2 linked regions of the Rhinolophus ferrumequinum genome follow. Each later gene encodes a partner of the first gene's protein in a complex. Links are inferred from orthologs where the notes say so. Each region holds a gene or a part of one and is shown on either strand. Other genes may lie near its edges.

Region 1 (9,986 bases):
TCTGCCCATAGCCTAGATCCTGCTCTGAGAAGCCGTCTCCAAGGATGGACCTGGTTGCTAGGTGACTGGCAGCAGCGTCGCTAGGATACCTGGCAAATCTGGAGAGGACAGAGCCTGCAGATGCCCCAGGACTCAGCATCCCAAAGTGTCCCCCAGGATTTGTCTGCATCTTCGCTGCAGCCAGCTCAGGGACACGTGTGGACATGTGTCCACAGAGACACTCAGGAAACAGGGGCACACAGAGTCACATGCCTGCAGACACACACATAGATGCCCAAATCGGTCTATGGGAACACACACAGACACGGGTACGTGCTCAGAAATGCAATGGCACTCGCAGGGGCGTGCACACACATGCAAACCTACACCAAGGTGTGTGCAAGGCATGTGGGTAGACACGTGGGAACAGACAGACACAAAGATCAAGGCCCCAGACACCCGGCTGCACACGTGCACCAGCCTCTCCCAGTGAAGCATTATCCGGCTGACCCCAGGTACCCGAGAGCCTCAGCTCCCACCGCCGCCCCTGGCAGGTGCACCTAGGTCTGAGCAGCCAGCCCGAGTCCCCGCCTTGGCTCCCTGGGACGCCTGGCCGCTCAGCAGTCTGCAGAGCCACATTTCTTGATGGCCGTCAGCTGCCTCATGTCCCAGGCCCCAGGCTGGGGAAAGCAAAGGGTCATGAGGCTGCTTCGAAGCTGGATGTGCGTTCTGGACAGAGCCAGCACAGAGGACAGCTGCAGGTGGACACCTGGTTTCTCACAGGCACAGTCTCAGCCAAAGGACAGGCTTGGTCACCTGACTGGTGGGTGGCCAGCCCCAGATGCTGACTACACTCCCTGGGAGTGGCTGCAGTCCAGCCCTGGACCCTTCAGGGCTCCCACAAAGGGGGGCATGGCACAGAGGAAATGGCCCAGGCCTCTCCTGAGCCCTGGGCAGCAAGGGTAAGACAGAACATACGTGTCACACATGGGAGAGCAGGGGACACACGTTACATAAGAGAGCATTTGTGGGCGGCCCAGTGGCTCAGTTGGTTAGAGCAGGAGCTCTGAAAAACAGGGTTGCCGGTTTGATTCTCACGTGGGGCAGTGAGCTGCATCCTCCACACCTAGACTGAATACGGCTTGAGCTTCGAGCTGAGCCACCAGTGGGTGACCTGTTGGCTTGTGGTTAGAGCATGAGCTCATAACACCAAGGTCGCTGTTTTGAGTCCTGCATGGGCCAGTGAGTTGTGCCCTCCACAACTAGATTGAAAACAATGACTTGACTTGACGCTGAACTGCACCCCCCACAACTAGATTGAAAAACAACAACCTGACATCTTGGAAAAACACAGTTCCCCAATATTCCCCAATTAAAAAAAAAAAGGATTGTAATAATTCTGAGTTTCATCGTAATGAATTACTTTGTCCTTGTGATTTTAACTTCATAATACTTATACAGAGGGTGCCAAAAAAATATATACACATTTTAAGAAAGGAAAATTGCATTAAAATTTTAATAATATATACTGATAACAAAAGATGAATACAAGTCATGTTTGACTTCTGCAATTACAAGAGGTGCTCAACGTGGTTCCCATCAGTGTCCAGACACTTCTGATTATGGCGAACTACTGCTTGAGCAACGTTGACCAAAGTGTCCACTTGTTTACACTTTTTTGGCACCCCCAGTATACGGCAACAGGAGAACTGAGTTGCAGGGTTTCAATATGTTACATGTGGTAGTCATTTAATAAAGCTTAGCAATTTCATTGTGAAGTTTTATCGTCAAACTTCGGTGCCAATCAACATACTTTTAGATGTCAGCCTTTCCATCAGCCCTTGAAAACCCCACAAACCCTGGACAAAAAGACAAAGGGAAGAATTTTTATGTAAATGTAAAATTATTACAAGATTAAAACTTTTAACATATAAATATATATATATATATATAAAGATGTGATGGTCTAGTACCTAAAATCATGTCAGACTTATAGAAAGTGAGCATATTTCACTTAAGCAATAATGATGAAGATGACGATATTGTTCGCATACATTTACTGGAACATGTTTTATGTCAGTTACAGTTCTAAGTGATTTAAATGTTCTATTTCATTTAGTTGAATTCTGTCAAATAGTTCAAATAGAGTTTTATATATGACAAAAAAACCAAACCAAAACAAACAAACAAAAAAACAAAGGGAAGGGTGGCTGGGTGGCTCAGTTGGTTAGAGCACGAGCTCTTAATAACAACAAGGTTGCGGGTTCCACTCCCGCAAGGGATGGTGCGCTGCGCCCCCTGCAACTAAAGATTGAAAACCACGACTGGACTTGGAGCTAAGCGGCACCCTCCACAACTAGATTGAAGGACAACGACTCGGAGCTGATGGGCCCTGTAAAAGCACATTGGTTCCCCAATATTCCCCAATAAAATTTATAAACAAAAAACAAAGGGAAGACACCTGCCTGCGGGTCTCCCTTGGTCACTGAGCCCCAGACACACAGGCCATCTTCCCTTCCAGTAGAACCCGGTGTGTGGAGAAGCAGGAAAAAGATGTCTTCAGGAATGGAAGCTCTATGGGCACCAGGCCCTCCTGGAATTAGAGGGAAGGAGGTGTCAAAGTTTTCAATCCCACAAAAAGTCACAAATCCCTCCTTGTAGGACAGCATGCCCCCAATCCACCTGTAACCCCACTCTAACCCCAGGAGCCAGCAAGCCACTCCTTTCCTGTGTGGCCTCCTGGCTGGGACCCCGGGGAGCTGAGAGGAGGGCCCAGATCCCTGTCTCAGAGGACTCACCCACATGGGAGCAAGGAGTGGGGGCCAGAGGCAGCCCCAGCCTGGACTATGTGTATCTAGGAGGCCTGCCTGCAGGAGGTGGCCTGCTAAATCAGCCTTCCTAAGCCCTCACTGCTTCTTCCGGAGCCAGAGACCCTCATCTTCAACAAGCCACCAAGTTGGTGCTGATTCTTAAGGCCCAGGCCATCCCTCAAAGGCACGCACAGGGCAGGATGGGCCAACATCCAAGGAACAGCTATGCAAAGCCCTGGGGGCTTAAAAGTGGGAGTTTGAGGGGTGCAAGCTCAGGGATATAGGGGCACAGAATCATAGGAAGTCAGAGCAAGCTTCCCAAAACAATGGGAACGGTCAGTAGCCTCCTACACAGAGGCCAGGACCTCAGCTGTGACCCCATCCCAAAGCCAGCATCATCCTCGATTCAGGGGCTCAGGTCCTGAACTCCCAAACAGCGCCCTCCACCGGCCCCAGCGCCCAGATGCAGGAGTGAAAGGGAGAGCTGCGTGCACACTGTGGCAGCCCACGCATTAACAAATTATGGGCTTAATACACTAATTTTCGTCTAACATAAACTGTGGCGTGAGCATATGAATTAATGAGTTCCCAACAAACTGATGAGTGCATGAATAAAATACAGAATTAATAAATTGGGCAGTGAATTAGTTATAGAATGTTATGAAATTAGCAAATACACAAATAGATTACAGAAATCCAGTACCCCGAGATTTACGGTTCAGCAACAAAGGGGTCTGGTCTTGTGGGACCCCTGGGCCCCCAAACTCGCCCTGGAAGAGGTGAGGGGTTCTGAGTTTGCCCCAGTCTCGCCTCTCTGTGAACGCCAGCGACTGTGGGAGGACCACGCAGAGAAAGGGCCTCAGCCCCCTACCTCCAAAACTAACCTCCAATGACCTCTCCAGCCAGGAAGCCAAGGCAGAGGCCCAGAAGACTGCCTCTGGGACTCCCCAGAAAGGAAAGAAAGCGCACGGGGCTGCAGGAGCTGGCAGTCACCACCTCCACGGAGTTCGACAGGCTGGGGCAGCTGCCGGCATCTCGCCCCGGTGATGGGGACGCCCTCCACTCACTTGCCCACGCCCCTCCTGAGGGGCTTCTCCGCCCCACCCCCCCTTGGAGGAGAGGCGGGACTCCCGGTTGCCCGGCAACCGCGTCAACAAGCCCAGAGAGTAGGGGCTTTGTTGAAGGCTCAGAGTCAAGAAACTCGAAAGTATGGGGTGTGGGGACCGGGTCGGGGGAGGACCTGGCTCAGCGTCTCGGGCAGCTGTGGGCTGGATCCCGGGAAGGAAGGAGCCCTGCAGGGCTGAACCGGGCCCTGGCGATGTTTCCCCGCCCCCCATCACCTCCTCCCTGGGCTCTGCTCTCCCTTCCTCCACCTAGAGCCAGTTCCAGACAGGCTAGGAGGATGAGCAAAGCAAACAAATGAAGCGGCTGTCCTTTTGGCTCTGAGCCTCCTCTGGGGTTCCAGTGGGCTGGGGGTTTGATGACTGACCGGTGACGGAAACACAGGGAACTGGAGCGCAGAGAGGGTCGTCCATCAACGTGGAGAAGGATCCACGGAGCTTCACTAAAAGCAGTGTCACCTGGTCTAAACCACTGGGTAGGGCCTGAGGTCAACTCAAGGGTCTCGGTGTTTTCTCAGTGGACAGACAAACAGCCTGTGGGCAGGAAGGAAATATCCCGAAACTCCCGAAAGGATCAGAAAGTTCTAGCTGACTGCAGCACTGAGTAGGGAGGCTGAGCTGATGGGGACGCGTGGTAGGCGTGAGCGGAGGTGCAGATGCTGGAGGTGCGGGACCCACGGGGGTGGGGCCTGCGGGGACTCTGGAGGGGCCAAGCCAGGCCAGAGGGCTGGGCAGGTGCCAAACGGACACCGTCTGGGCACCAACAAGGCGATGCCTCTTCCCCTTGGCAAGGGCCGAGAATGCAACCGCCGGCGGCAAAGGATGCCGGGCGCAGGGACTCGCGGGACCGAGCCTCGAAGGGCACGCAGGGTGCAGAGTCCCCTGAGGAGCACGCCAAGGGGGCGCCGGCGGGAGAGCTCCCCATGCCGGGCTGGACCCTAAAACCGGAGGCACTGGCAGACATGCATCCCGCTCAGTGCCATCGCCACCTGCTCTTCTGCGACCTGCCTGAGGACGTGGGCGCGGCCGCTTCCATCTTCCCGCGTGAGTCAGTGGAACTGGGGTACCGTATGCCCGACCTGCGCGCGTGGACGAAATCACTCGAGCTACCCGCGGCGCGCCAAGACCGGCTCCTCGGTGTCCTCAAGGCCGCGGAAGCTTGTGGACGAATCCGCGCCTTGCGGCTGCGCTACAACCATTTGCGGGTGAGGCCAGGGGCTCAGAGGGAGGGGCAGGCAGGCGAGAATTGGGGGGCAGGCCGGGAGGGGAGGCCGGCCCGGGACCCTGAGGAAAGGGGGCTGGAGGACCCGCGGGGGCTCGCGGCGGGAGGGGCGGAGCAGGGCAATACGTCGCGCTGGCTCAGAGGTACCCCACGTGCCACGCCCCGGCCGGCAGGCGGAGGAGATCTCGCTCCTCATCCAGCGGCAGAAGTCCGCGCGCGCCGCCATCCGGCTGGAGCTGTTCCTGCCTCCGCAGCTGAAGCCCACGAGGATCCCGGACCCCCTGGACCGTCAAGAGGTGCCTGCCAGCCCGGGAAGGCGGGGAGAGAGGGCCCCGCCCTCCTCTCTCCACACCTGGCCCCAGCCCCTCTCCCCCGCAGCGGAGGCGCTTGGAGACCATCCTGGAGGAGACAGTGGATGGCCACATCTTCCCGCGTTGACGGCTACCCCACCTGCCCACATAAAGTTCTCATTCTCCAAGAGCCTGCTGGTCTTTACGCTCCGTCTCCACGTCCCAGGGCAGAGAAGGAGGGGATGGATGCTGCCTCTCCGACATAGGACGTCACAGACATTGGGGTACACAGAGTGGAGCTCCTCCAACAAAGTAGGAAGTTGCAAGTGGGCGGGCGTCATTAACAGGGAACCAGGACATCCCTCACCCCCCCAAATCCGCAGCCTCCAGCTGTTGAGTCCATGGGGGGCAGGAAGAAGAATGTGGCTTAGCAAGTCACACCCCCAGAAGTAAGCAGCCTCAGGGAGAGACAGGGGCTGAAGTGGGACCCCCAGATTGCAGGTCATCCCATCAGGGTGTCAGAGAGGAGGGTGACATTATGGGCAAAGGAAGTAGCTGCACACAAAGCTGCCTTTGGATGGGGCAGCTGGATGGCTCAGTTGGTTAGAGCTCCAGGTCTCAACAAACAACAAGGTTGCCGGTTCAATTCCCTCATGGGATGGTGGGCTGTGCCCCCCTGCAACCTTGAAAACGGGTGACCGGACTTGGAGCTGAGCTGCACCCTCCACAACTAGATTGAAGGACAATGACTTGGAGCTGATGGGCCCTGGAAAAACACACTGTTCCCCAATATTCCCCAATTTAAAAAAAATACCTGGAGCGTCAGCTGTGCTGGGAGACTGGAGAAGGGGCAAGTTCTCCTCAGGGGAACCCTGCTGCCCCAGACAGAAAATCACCCTGTGTTTTTCCTTTTCATCCTGAATGGCCTCGTCTGTCCCCTCTGCCTCTCTTACCTCCTCACCACGTACATACCCAAGACCAGAAGGAAGCCGCCCCTGCCCCATTCTGACAAGCCTGTCTGTCCTGCTAACCCTATGGATTCCTTAAGAACCTCCATGATTCTGGACAGACCTTCAAGAACACTGTTCTCCCACACAGGCTGTTTGCAGAGCCCGGGATTTCTCTCAGCCACCTCTCCAGCGGGGGCTCAGGGACGCAGACCAGCCCCACCCCTGCCAGGGGCCTCCTGCTGAGTGGGCAGCAGCAGAGCTGACCCTGGAGGGGCGCAGAGGTCAGAGCTTGGGGTCTGGCCAGGAATCCTGCTCAGTGGCGGTCACTGCCCCTCCCTGACCCGGCTCAGGATGAAGACCTGGGCCCTCCGTGCCCTCAGCAAGCCCTTCTCCCCATCTGTTGCTGCCTTTGGCGTCGATGGACACCCAGAACTATGTGCGGAGTGGGAGGGAGTGGGGAGCTGCATGTAGTGGCAGGTGGGAAGGGGAGTGGGTGTGTTGGGAGGGGGAGGGAGAAGGAGGGGGGCAGAGAAGGTGGCTTGGGTGAGGGACAGAGACAGAAAAGGGGAAGCAACCACTGCCCAGGAGTGGTGGCCACTGGCACCCAGACAGGCATGGAGGACAGCCAGCCCTGGCCCCTGGCCCGGCTCCCCGCCATCTGGACCCAGCACCCTGTCTCTGGGGGACGCCTAGAGACTGAGTGCCTAGGATGACTTCATCATTTTAGTAGAAGCACATTTTATTTCTCCACTTCTCTAAGCCTCTGTTTCTTCATCTCTAAAACGGAGTCTCAAGGGTCTCGCTGTTGCCATGTGCCCCACAGCGATTGCTCCTAAGGCAGGGTCACTGCATTAGGCAGGCACCTGAGGACAGAGGGACAGGGCAGACGCACAAAGCCCTGAGGAGAGGGCTAGCAAGAAGACGGCCTCACAGACAGCTGTGCATATGGGCGCCCTTTGATCCCACCAGGGACAGGCCCTAGGTCCGCAGACCAGCCTCAGAAAGTGTCTGAGGAAAGTGGTGGGGCCTGGAGGTGGCTTCTGCTCTGCGAGAACAAAGCCTGCACCACGTCCCATGGGCCGTGAGGGATCAGATGGGATGCCGGGCTGAGGCTTGTGCTCTGGGCAGGGGGCCCTGGGGTCAGTCGCATCTCCACATCTCCTGCTGTATGGCCTTCAGGGGCTCCTCCCCAGTCCACCTGGGATCCTCCATGGGCTGCGGGGACACTGCAGAGACAGACTCCCCAGGGGAGGTACGGGAGACCCAGAGGGTGTGGGGGACTGGCCAGAGGAGGGAGGGAAGTGTGCTGACCCCCACCCATGACCAGTTGCCCTACACATGTCTTAGGCGGTGGGTGGAGATGCCACACACACTGTGGGATCCGCCTGGCTGTGTGACCTTGGCCAGGTGCTGGCCCATCTCTGTGCTGTTACCTCTCAGGACTGTCATCTGGGGTAAATGAGAAGCAGTCGTCTCCTGTCTGGACAGGCTTCCAGCCTGGGCCCTGTCCTGGGAGCCTGCCAACATGGCAGCCAGGGCCCCTGAGCACACAGCATCAAGAGGCACCCCAGCCTCCAGGGCCCTCTGGCCTCTCTGACCTTCCCCGCTCTCAGCTTGGCCTGAGCCCCTGCCATGCAGCCTCCTCTACCCTCCCTGGCCCTCTTCACCTCTCACCCATTCTGCGGGCTGGGTCTCATCTGCTCTAGGGCTGGTCTGTCTAGCTCACTGCAAGGTCCCGCTCAGGGGACAGCCAGAAACTTGCTGAATGATGAGGAGTGCGTGGAAAATCTCCACTTCCCTTCACATCTCGACAACTTGTGCGGTTGGGAGGCCCTCTGTGAGCCGGACCGGCTCCAGGAGCTCACCAGGCCGAGTGCCTGCACTAGGGACAGGAGCTACATATGGTCTGAGTCCAGGGGACCATTTCCAGAGCAGGGTCAAAGCCACTATGACACTGGCCGTAAGCATGCTGGGATAAGAAATTGAACTAACAGCTGTACCAGGTCATAAAGTACCAGGAGAATCAGCCAAAGAGAAGAGACAGGACATTCGAGGGAAGGGGACAGTGTGGCTTTAAACTGCATGACACCTTGGAGCAACTGAAGGGGTCAGAAGGGAGCCGGCCAGCAGCCACAGATAGAGAGAGACATGTGGTGACTCCAGGGGCAAAAATCCATACCCCCAGCATCCAGGTTCACCTCAGCACAGGACCCCGGTCCCCTCCGTGGGAAGCCCCCTACAGTGTGGTAACAGTGCGGTGATAACAGGCTCTTAACCTCATTTTACAGGTGAGGGCACCCAGTCTGGGAAAGGCTAGGGTGGGGCCTAGAGTAACCACGACACAGTCCTTTCCAGCGGGGCAAGTAGCGTATGGGGACACTTGCGTCTCTAGGACTCTCGTGCCACACATCTGGCAGGAAGCTCATGGCCGACTCACATGAATGGCACAGCTGGAATGGCCCGGCCGAGTCGGGGGCACGGCCACACCCCCACCTACTACAGTTCCAGCTCAGGCCGCCTGGAGGCCAGAGACCCCAATATTAGCACCTCATCTCCATGGGCCACCCTAAGCGACGACGGGGACCAAGGCGCTGGGCCGGACTCTATGGGGTGGTGGGGAGGGGGCGCGTGGGGCGCAGAAACAGCCAAACGCGGGGCGGGGCGCGCCGGGCGGGGCGGGCCGGGCGCCTCCCCGCGCGAGGAAGTCCCAGCCCGGCGCTTTGGGGAAGTGCGGCCGAGGCGCCTGCGCACTGCACCCTGCGCCCCCTCCCCGACGATCCGGCCGGACTTCGGAGCGCGCGGGCTCGGCGGCGGCGGCGGCGCGAGCGGCTCGAGAGCGCGGCCGGTGAGTGCACGCGCGCGGCGCGGAGGACGGCGGCCCTGCCCCTGCGGGCCCGGGGCCCCGGGGCCGTGTGGGGCGGGAGCCTCGGGAGCCGACTCCGGGATCTGCACCCCAAGGACTCCCGCCGAGGGGTCCACGTGGACCCTGGGCCGCGGCGGGACTGGAGCCCGTCCCCACCGCGCGCGCGGGGGGAGTCGGCGCTGCAACCGGGTTCCCCTTTTCTGCAGCTCAAAGCTTGGGGAAGTGATTGCTCAAAGGGGGGGCCGGAAGAACCCAGGTTTCCGCGTCTCCCGCCCCCCTCAGCCTGGTGGGGAGGGACCGAGGCGGGACACCCTGTCCGCCCCCGCCCCGTTGGATCTGGCAGCCTCTGAGCCCTGCGAGTCGCAGGGGAGGCGCTGCGCCCCCGGCCCCAGCCGATCGGGGCCCCCGGCGCCGACCTCCCTCCAGAGCGCCGCAGGAGAGTCCCCTGCCGTCTGACTCGAATCCCTGCTGCTGCAGTGCACGCCCCTTCGGCAGTCAGGGTGGGGGTGCAGACCGAACGTGGCCCCTCCCGCCCCCACCTCGCCTTTGGGTCGCTGGTGAGTGGGGCGCCATGGCGAGTTCCTTGAGGTAGGGGTGGGGGCGTCAGAGGCTGGAAGGGACCCCTGCAGAAGGCGACAGGTTCCTCCAGGCCAGACCCTACCAGCGGAGAGAGAGCGCGAGAGAAGTGAGTCGCCCCCACCATTGCAAAGGTGGGCTGGGGGCGAGGGTCACCAGGGTTAGGAAAACTGAC
Region 2 (9,154 bases), on another chromosome or scaffold:
TGAGTTCTGAGGAAGCTGAGGACAGTCTGACGGGTCTGTTTTGCAGGCACCAGGTGCTGCCAGGCTCCCGTTAGAAATGCCACGCACACTTCTTAGCTACATGAATGAAAGGATGAATGGGAGCCGGGTGGAGACAGGGCGCGGGACAGGTGTGAGCAGAGGGGAGATTGGCTCTGAGCCATGGTGGGGAGGCTACGTGGCCATCCACTGACTTTTTCACAGACTCCTTGGAGGGTAAAGCTCTACACTTTACCCACTGAGCCAGGCCCTTCAGAGCTGGTGATGCTGAGGCAGCTTCCAGTATTTGAAAAACCAGAACACCACAGAAAGTCAGACTGAGTGTGATCATAGCCTATGAAGAGAAATGCCCAGAAAATTGACATGGCTCCCACACTGGTGTGCCCGAACTCTCACAGCTAGTTTGTGGTTAGAAGGAAACCTTCATGTTAGATTGTGGGAGCACCGTTAGGCGTTACAATAAAAGGGTTTAGAAAACCCAGTTTTTCTAATGAGTTCCCAGCTGTTTAAGCCACTGCCACTGTTGTCATGATGACTCCTGTTTTGAGAGAAGGACCCAGTCAGTCCCTCCCGAGGATATCTGACGAGTAGCTCCACCCAGACCCAGAACAGGTAGATTTCAAAGGTTCCTTTTCTGGCTTCAGGAGCTGGAGGATTGGGGGTGAGGCTCACTGAATCATGTTGATAAAAGTGTAGAACACCCTAGACCTCACGTCCCTGTGGTGTGCGTGCGTGCATGTGTGTCTTAGCATGAAATAAGCATACAGGCAAGTTCAGCTCACTACATGCCACAGTGTAGGTTTCAAGCAATGTTAATTCCTTTGCCCTCCTTTAGTGCCTTTGTCCTGGCCGCCGCCTTTCTCTCCAAACCCTTTGACCCATCCATATTCTACCTCCTTCCCTGCCCGGCTCGAATGGCTGGGGCAAGCGCTCCTTTCTGGGAGTCCTTCCAGCACTTGCTGTCTGAACCAGGCAATTTAGCACTCCGGTGTGGCATTGTCCCCTAATTGTTTCCCTGTGTGTGTGTATTGCCCCAGCCCTAACCCCATTAGTTTGTAAGCACCCCTGGTCCGAAGCAGGAGAGGCACGGGAGCCAGGAAGGCTGGATTCAGTCCTCTTTGCCACGTCCTGAACAAATTATTTAACCTCTCGGCTTCAGTTTTCAACAGCAACATGGAGATAATCACACCACCTCGCAGGGCTGTTGCTGGGGATAATAGGTGTGAAAGCGTTTAAGATGTAAATCATTGTAGGAAAGTAAAGGGCTGTTATTATCACCTCTGCTGAATCCACTGGAGCCCCCTCCCCGTGCCCCCAAACCCATGCCTCCCCTGCCTCGTGGAGTGGAGAAGATAAATACCTGATTGATTGAATATGTAATGGCTTTGTGACAGCTCCTGTTATAGGCCCCAGAGAGCACGGGTTTAAGCCTAATCTTGCAATTACTCCCTTCATTGACAATGAAAAATCTCCAGCATTCTCTAGAGACCCGAGTACTCTCAGCCTTCAGCTGATAAAGCAAGGGCTGCTGCCCCACACACAAACTGCACCCCCAGAACAACCCCAGGCTGCACCATAGCACCCTCGATGGGCAGCATATGGAACAGGGGAAGCTGCTCCTTTGACTAAGGTGGTGATTGGGGACAGGCTTTCCAGGGACCCTGCAGAAGACTCAGCAAGCACACAGGAACACTAATCCTTTTTGTTAAAGGTATCACAGCATCTGTAGAGGCATATAGACTATTTCCCTGCCATAGTTTATAAATGCAAGAAAGGAGTGTGCGTGCAGCAGCCACCCACAGGCAGTGAGAAAGAGCCGCAATTTCTTTGGGAGGTTTTGATAAGAAGCCAGGCAGTTACTTTTCCCCTCTATGTTGAAAACTCTGGTTTAGGCTTGCTGGCAAAAGCCGTGGAAAGCTCATCTTTTGTTAGTCTCATGAACAATGTTATTGGTTATAATTGGGGCAATTACGGGCTGCTCGAGGCAGCGAAACACAGATGTTGAAGCCCAGGATCAGGGTATTTGAGTCCAAAGCAGCTTGCTTTAAATAGTCCGTTTCCCGAATCATCCTGCCTTGCTTGAAATTCCCCCGCAACTTGCCCATGTTCCGAGTGAGATGGGGGAGGAGAGGATGTGTGGTGGAGGGAGGGAAAGCGATACATGCAGGGAGAGAGATGCACAAAGAAAGAAGGAGAAAGAAAAGGAGGCTGAGAAAGAGCAAGAGAGAGTTTGGATGACTTCTGCATGTCGTAATCCACAGGACCCCAGCAGAGACCTTTAGGTGGGAGAGATGGGCAGGAGAAGAAAAATGCAAAGAAAGAGGAGACCTCAAAACGACTCAGGGTCCGGGAGTCCAAGGTCAGCCCTGTAGAAATCTATGTGAAATTCATACACAGCGGCTGCAATCAGCCATGTACTACAACCGTGTTTCCTCGAAAATAAGACCTAGCCAGACAATCAGCTCAAATGCATCTTTTGGAGCAAAAGTTAATGTAAGACTCGGTATTATATTATATATTATATTTATTATATTATATTATATTATATTAGACTTGGCCTTATAGTAAAATAAGACTGGGTCTTATATTAATTTTTGCTCCAAAAGACACATTAGAACTGATGGTCCAGCTAGGTCTTATTTTCGGGGAAACCCAGTACTGGTCCAGCACGACGCCCCACATCTGACTTTTCCCACATCACGCCTAACAATTTTTGTTTGGTGCATATGGGAGAAGGAGTCGCTCAGGATTAAAACCCAAATCCAAATCAAGTTTAGTGATCCGTGAACCAGCCTGAACACACTATGAGGGAAGGAAAGAAAGGAAGTCAGCCACACAGAGAAATCGCTCACAAGGGGAGCAGGGGGGCTTCCCAGGGCTGCACTGAGGAAGACTCCCCCACCCAAGTCTGCCCCTTCCCTAACCTTACTCCTACAGACACCTTTTCTCAACAGACAGCAATGACAAAGTAGGGGCCACATCTGGGAAATCAAAACTTTTTCTCATCTCCAAGTTCGGCTCTTTCTTCTTCTGCATCTGTCTTCAGCATAAAAACCTCAAGCCTCCCTTCCCCTCCATCCAAGCATTGAAAATAAGATGAATGAAGAAATCATCTCACAGGAGGCCTGCAGCATTCATACTGGACAAAGGAGAGAGGCTGAGGAGAGAGCCCCCCCTGCCCTGCTCCCAGAGGCTCCCAGCAGACTGTCTAGGGCTGGGGTTCGCATGCATTGCCTACCTGAGAGCTGTCAGTGGCCCGGCTCCCTCGGATGTGAGGCTCGGTTCTGAGATCTCAGCCACACCAGCATATATATCCTCCCCCCACACGCACAGCCCTCCCTTTCCCTGCCCACCTCGATGACACATACACACGCTGACCCCCTTAAGCAAGTGAACAGCAGAACCTACAGTCCTTCCTGGCTTCCCCCCACCCCCCACCGCCTCTGTGCTCAGACCTGTGACATCCCCACCTCCCCATCAGTCCATTCATTCTCAAGCCTGCTTTACCTGGACTCTGTTCAGCCAGGATCCCACAGCTGCCTTCCCCTTGCTTCCAGAAGCACGGCGAACACTGACGGGGAGCCCTGGCAAGTCAGTCAGAAAAAAAGACTCCTGGTGACTGTGACGAGCAGACCCCAAGCCCCGAGTCTCCTTGAACAACCTTTTAGCCTGAGAAGTAAAGAAAAGGAAGCGGGCAGAATGAGGGGGAAGCACACGTCAAGCTCCCACTGGCTCAGCAAAGCCCAGAGCTAAGCTTAGCCAAGCCCCCTCCTGCTGTCACTGTCCCACAGGCAGCAACAACTATGTCACTCTAGGCAGTGGCTCTACCTGCCATGGGCCATGTCAGGTGGCATTTCACAGGTACCCACAGCATGGCACAACGTAAAATGCTGAGACTTTCGACTCAGACTGAAGTGTCTGAAATTCTCGCTCTGCTATCAGAGCAATGTACTTCTGTCTGCGAACCTCAGGTCCTCTTTCTGTAAAATGGGTAGAACACCTCCCAGGATGGTTGTGAGTAGAAAAATGATATTCTGTTTGTATTTGGAACACATGAGACCTTTAATAAAAGTGAATTCAGCATCCCCTCTATCCTTTTCATATTAAACAATGCCAGCTGGATCTAAAAAGCCAACATCTGTCAACATCTAGTGGCACAACAGAGTGCTTTGAAAGCTGCTGCTGTACTTCCGGATGTCACTACCAAGTGCCTTGGAGTCTTGGAAGCTGTTGAAGATGCCCCCAGCACTCGGTCTGGGGCCTCCTTCCCTTCCCTGCGGGAAGGTAGCTCAGAGGCAGCCCAGGCCGGGAGCGTTTAGATTCTGCAGTGTCCTTGTGGAGCCCGAGGTGAATCACACCATGACCTCCTCCTTGGCTCTCCCAAGAAAATTCATAAATATTCCAGAATCCCAGGATGTGAGCCTGTTGTCCAAGGAGCTTAAGCACCCTGTCCTGCGACAAGTCAGGCTCTGGTATCAACCTGAGACTGGGTGGAGAAGGATTAAAGAAGGCATCTGCTCTGCCTGCAAATGGGTACAGGGGTTCTTTTAGGGATGATGGGAATATTCTGAAATTAGATAGTGCTGATGGCTGCACAGCATAGTGAATATACTGCAAACCACTGAATTGCATGCTTTAAAGTGGTGAATTTTATGTTATGTGAATTATATCTCAATAAAAAACATATAGGAAGAAAGAAAAGAAAGAAACAAAGAAATCAGTCCATCAATCAATCAATCAATCATCTGCCCTAGGTTAAGAGCAACAGCTTCTCAGAATACAACATCTCCTCCATCTATATTCACAGCAAACGGGCCCAGGAGACCAGCAAACTCATGATATTACACTTACATCTCTATTGTGCGAATCTTGCACTCTGTTACTACAGGTCAAAGCCACCACTATGAAATCTGAGAAATCGGCCTGCTATGTGGTCAGTTTTGCATCCTGATGTACATTGGGGTCCCTTGAGCTTGATTTCACACGTGCAGTGGCAGATGTTGCTGATTGCCTACCCAATACCCAGTCCCTGTTCTTCTTTACTAAACAGTACCCTTTATTTTATGTTAAGTGGCAATGTGCTCTGCTAAAAGACTACTTTCCCAGGGTTCCTTGCAGCCAAGGGTAGTCAGTGAGAATCAAGCTGCTAGTCCAGTCCATAGGTGGGGTTTCCAGGAAAGCTCTTTAAAAAGGCCTCTCTTTGCCCTCCTTCCTTCCTGAACAGAACACAAATGTAATGGCTGGAGCTCTAGCAGTTATCTTGGATCATGAGACAATTTTGAGGATAAAAGCCATGGACTAAAGATGATGGAGCATAAAGATAGAAAGATTCTGGGTCCCTGATGACTGTGGTGCTTTCATACCAATCATGGAGTTCGAACCTCCAACTTTTTTTAAGAGAAAAAACTCAACTATTTCAAATATCAGTCAGGGTTCAGTTAGCTGTTGCTGTGTAACAAGCCACACCAATTCAGAGGCTTAACCAACAAACTGCTTATTTGGCTCGTGACACTGCAAATTGGCAGTTTTTGGTGGTCAGCAGGGCAGTTCTTCCGGTCTCAGTTTGGCTGTCTCATGAATCTGCAGTCAGCTGGCGGTAGCTTCAGGAGGTTGGCTGGCGGTTAGCTGGGGACACCGTGGTTCCAATCTGTGTCTCCTAACCTTTATGTGTCTCTACTATGCCTTCTGGTCTGGCGTGGTCTCATAGCAAGACTGAAGTTCAAGCACAAGCAAGTACAATCAAGCAAGCGAACAAGCAGAAGAATGCAGAGTCCCTGAGGCCTGACCTTGGAGCTGGCACTCCACTGCTTTTGCTGCATTTATTGGCTAAAGGCAGTCAGAGTACCAGTACAGAGCCAAAGTGGGCGGAGACTACAAAGTCACAGGGCGGGGTGAGTGGGGCGGGGTAGGCAGAGGCTCCGTGTTTTGTTTAATTAAAGCCACTTCTTTGGATTTTCTCTCATGTGCACTGGAAAATCTTCAGAAACGATCAACCTTCCTTTGAGCACCTAGTCATTTCCAGGGTGTTGGATACCCACGTTTTTTTCCTTCCCTTGCAATTGAGGGAAAGAGAAAGCAAGCGTGAAAATCACTATACTTCTCTTTCCTTGTTTACCAAACGAAAGTGTTGAACCCAACGACCCAGCAGTTCTCTTTGGGTTGACTGAGGCTGCATTTTGTGGTAGGCTGTCTTCTATCGCACGTGGAGGACAGGAGGGAACCCAGGGAAGGCGTTTGCAACAACTGTCGTGTGAGGCTGTAAGAACTTTGCCTCTCCAAAAAGCAAGAGAGGACTAGAAAAGGTGCAAATTGTGCGGTGCTTGAATCACTTAAAGGCTTTTTCCTCGGGGCTTTGCCCCTGCATCTGCTGCCTTAAGGTTCATGGGCCTCCCTCAGGCGTCAGAACTGGTCACCAGGCAGCATCTGCCCTCTTCTTCTGGATGACAGTATACATTTTATGAAAATCGTTGTAGGGGAAAGATCACACAGTCTTATTTCTAGTGACTCTGAGGCAATCGGTGCAAGTTCCCTTCTGCCCATGCAGCTTGCCATCGAGAGGCCCAAGCCAGGGTGGCTGCAAGCATTAGACTCCACTCAGTTCTGACAGGTAAGTTAGGAGGCAGATTTAGAGACTCTTAAAACAGCCACCAGAAATTTCAGTAGAGGGAGTACAAGGGGAAGAAATCCTCCATAGCGGGGCTGCCACTTTGGACTCCTCGAACACATACCCTCCACCCCCAGCCATTTCCTCCTCTCAAAGTAGAAGAGACGCTCACCACCAGGTATTTGGCTGCTCAAAATGTACTGATTAATTACAGCACCTATAGCCAATCGGTCTCCTTAGTAACCACACTAGCAGGGTCCTAGCAGGAAAAACTGCTTGTTTTCAAAGAGGTCAAACCCTCTCCACAGTTTAAAACACCTTGAATTGGATCACAAGTGGATATTTAAGATAGACACCCAAGTTTCTCCATAACTTTGGGCCTTTGGGTTATTGAGGGAAAGCTGAATTTTAGTAATCAGTTAAAGCTAGGTTTTAGACAAAGAGATAGGCAAATACAATTTCAAGACGAAGAGCCAGTGATTACCCTTGCACGTGTCAGCTTTCCTACCCAGACATTCCAGCCGAGTGCCGTGCCAGGTGGTGTGAGTACAAGAGGGAGATGGACTCAGGTGTCCTGTCCCTCAAGAAGGAGCCTGGGGTACAAGACGTACGCTAATGAAGGGTGGCCAGGACAGCATATATAGTCGTGGCTCAGGCCATTAGAGAATCAGAGAGCACATAATGTGCTCATTGAAAATCAGACTGCAAGGAAAGTTCATATGAGAGACGGCATGATGTTTATCCTATTTTTGAAATGAAAGTTAAGATGCTGAGGATCATATTGCAGGTTCTGAGAGGGCAGACAGGTGGCAGCTGGGCTTTAATATGGGAAAAGATGAGGATTAGGAGGTAGGCTAGTCTGCTAGGGACTGCCGTAGCAAAGTGCTACCGCCTGGGTGGCTTCAACAGCAGACACCTGTTTTTTTCACAGTTGCAGAGGTTGGAAGTCTGAGACCAAGGTGTCGGCAGGGCTGGGTTCTCCTGAGGCCTGGCTCCTTGGCTTGTACATGGCCTCCTTCTCCCTGTGTCCTCACATGGGTCTTCCCTCTGTGTGTGTCTGCGTCCTCATCTCCTCTTCTGATAAGGACACCAGTCAGATTGGATTAGGGCCCATCTCAATGTGCTCCTTTAACCATAGTCACCTCTGGAAAGACCCTATCTCTAAATATAGTCTCATTCTGAGGTATTGGGAGTTAGGACTTCAACATACAAAAATTTTTGTGTGGGTGGGGGGCATAATTCAGCCTACAGCTGCTGGAATATGATACTGAGCCCATCAGATAATGGGGATAAAACCCTAGAAAGGGAACTGAAGTTCACTGTGGGACACTGGGCTGCAGTGGGTTCCTTCCACACTCGGGCTCCCAGACCCAGCATTGGTTTCCCCAGGCACCGAGCTGACAATGTATGTCTTTCTTTGCCACGTCACAGTTTGCCTGCAACATGCACGCAGTTCTCCTGGCTGTGTCTTAAGAGTCCCATAACCACTAGGAGGCGTATTCTGAAATTTGGAATGTGAGGAGCATATATACTTAAGAAATGCCGTGCTCAGAATAAGGAGACAGTCATTTCAGACACTTCAGATCATGGTACCCTGAGAAGTTTTGTAGGATGGTGTAGTGTTTCTCTGGGGTCAATAGCTGAATGCGGGGCACGGGGGTGGTGCCAATATCCTTATGTTCTACGAGTATAACTTTCCACAAATAAATGAGTGCTCCACGTTGTGGAGGCAAAGCCCTCTTCAGTTTGTCCCTCTGTTAGATTAAGCTCCAATTTCACGTGCAAGCTCATTTCCTTTCACAACTCCACCCCTTGGGAGGACTCTGAAGTCTCCTTCCAGCTCAAATCTCCCCCTTGGACTTCTGGTGCCATATTTCCAGTGCCTTCAGGAGGTCCTCACTCAGATGTCGCCTCGATGCCCACAAGGACGTTGTCATATTCCCTTTAACGAACCTCAATCCAAATCTCCACTGTTGGTAATACCGTGTTGCCCCGAAAATAAGACAGGGTCTTATATTAATTTTTGCTCCAAAAAATGCATCAGGGCTTATGTGCAGAGGATGTCATCCTGAAAAATCGTGCTAGGGCTGATTTTCTGGTTAGGTCTTATTTTTGGGGAAACACGATAGCATTCTCACAGCCACTCAGTTCTATAACCTGAGTCATTTTGCTTCTCACCCTTTCCCTGTTCTTTATATTCAGGATGTTACCAAGTGTAATCATTTCATGTTGATTGTCAGTTGTTAGTGCTCCCAGCTCTCCCCCTACCTTTCTCTCCAATCTAGCCTATATACAGCATTTAGCCTAATATTTTTTTAATGGCATTTTCGTTTTGCTTCAATACCTTGCTCCAAAATTCTAATTTAAAGGCAAAGAATGATAGAGTTGGAAAGGACTGGGGGTGAACTACATACCCCATTGGACTTATACTCTAAAGACCAGAGTCCCAGCTTAGCCCTTTCCCTGCCATGTGATTTTGGCCAAATAACTCCTGCTTCCAGAACCTAGCACTCTTATTATTATTATTATTAT

The links. Proteins that work in one complex are often made in the same cells at the same time.
Region 2: the proteins of OPRL1 (region 1) and PNOC are in contact, whole or in part, in a cryo-EM structure (PDB 8F7X), measured with the Homo sapiens proteins. The link is inferred for Rhinolophus ferrumequinum from reciprocal best matches to the Homo sapiens genes OPRL1 and PNOC. Residues at the interface, in NP_000904.1 of Homo sapiens: Gln107, Asp110, Gly114, Phe115, Trp116, Val126, Ile127, Asp130, Tyr131, Met134, Gln192, Glu194, Ile198, Glu199, Cys200, Leu201, Val202, Ile219, Val279, Gln280, Val283, Gln286, Gln291, Pro292, Ser293, Val298, Leu301, Arg302, Thr305, Tyr309; in NP_006219.1 of Homo sapiens: Phe130, Gly131, Gly132, Phe133, Thr134, Gly135, Ala136, Arg137, Lys138, Ser139, Ala140, Arg141, Lys142, Leu143.

What each region holds. Positions count from the first base shown.
Region 1 is NC_046306.1:122,516-132,501, forward strand, and holds the start of OPRL1 (nociceptin receptor), read right to left. Parts: upstream 4,416-9,986; 5' UTR 4,279-4,415; intron 2,573-4,278; 5' UTR 2,441-2,572; intron 1-2,440. Other genes in the region: protein LKAAEAR1, read left to right, coding at 4,567-5,115, 5,306-5,875.
Region 2 is NC_046301.1:29,408,520-29,417,673, reverse strand, and holds the start of PNOC (prepronociceptin), read right to left. Parts: upstream 3,664-9,154; 5' UTR 3,526-3,663; intron 3,307-3,525; exon of another isoform or gene 3,257-3,306; intron 1-3,256.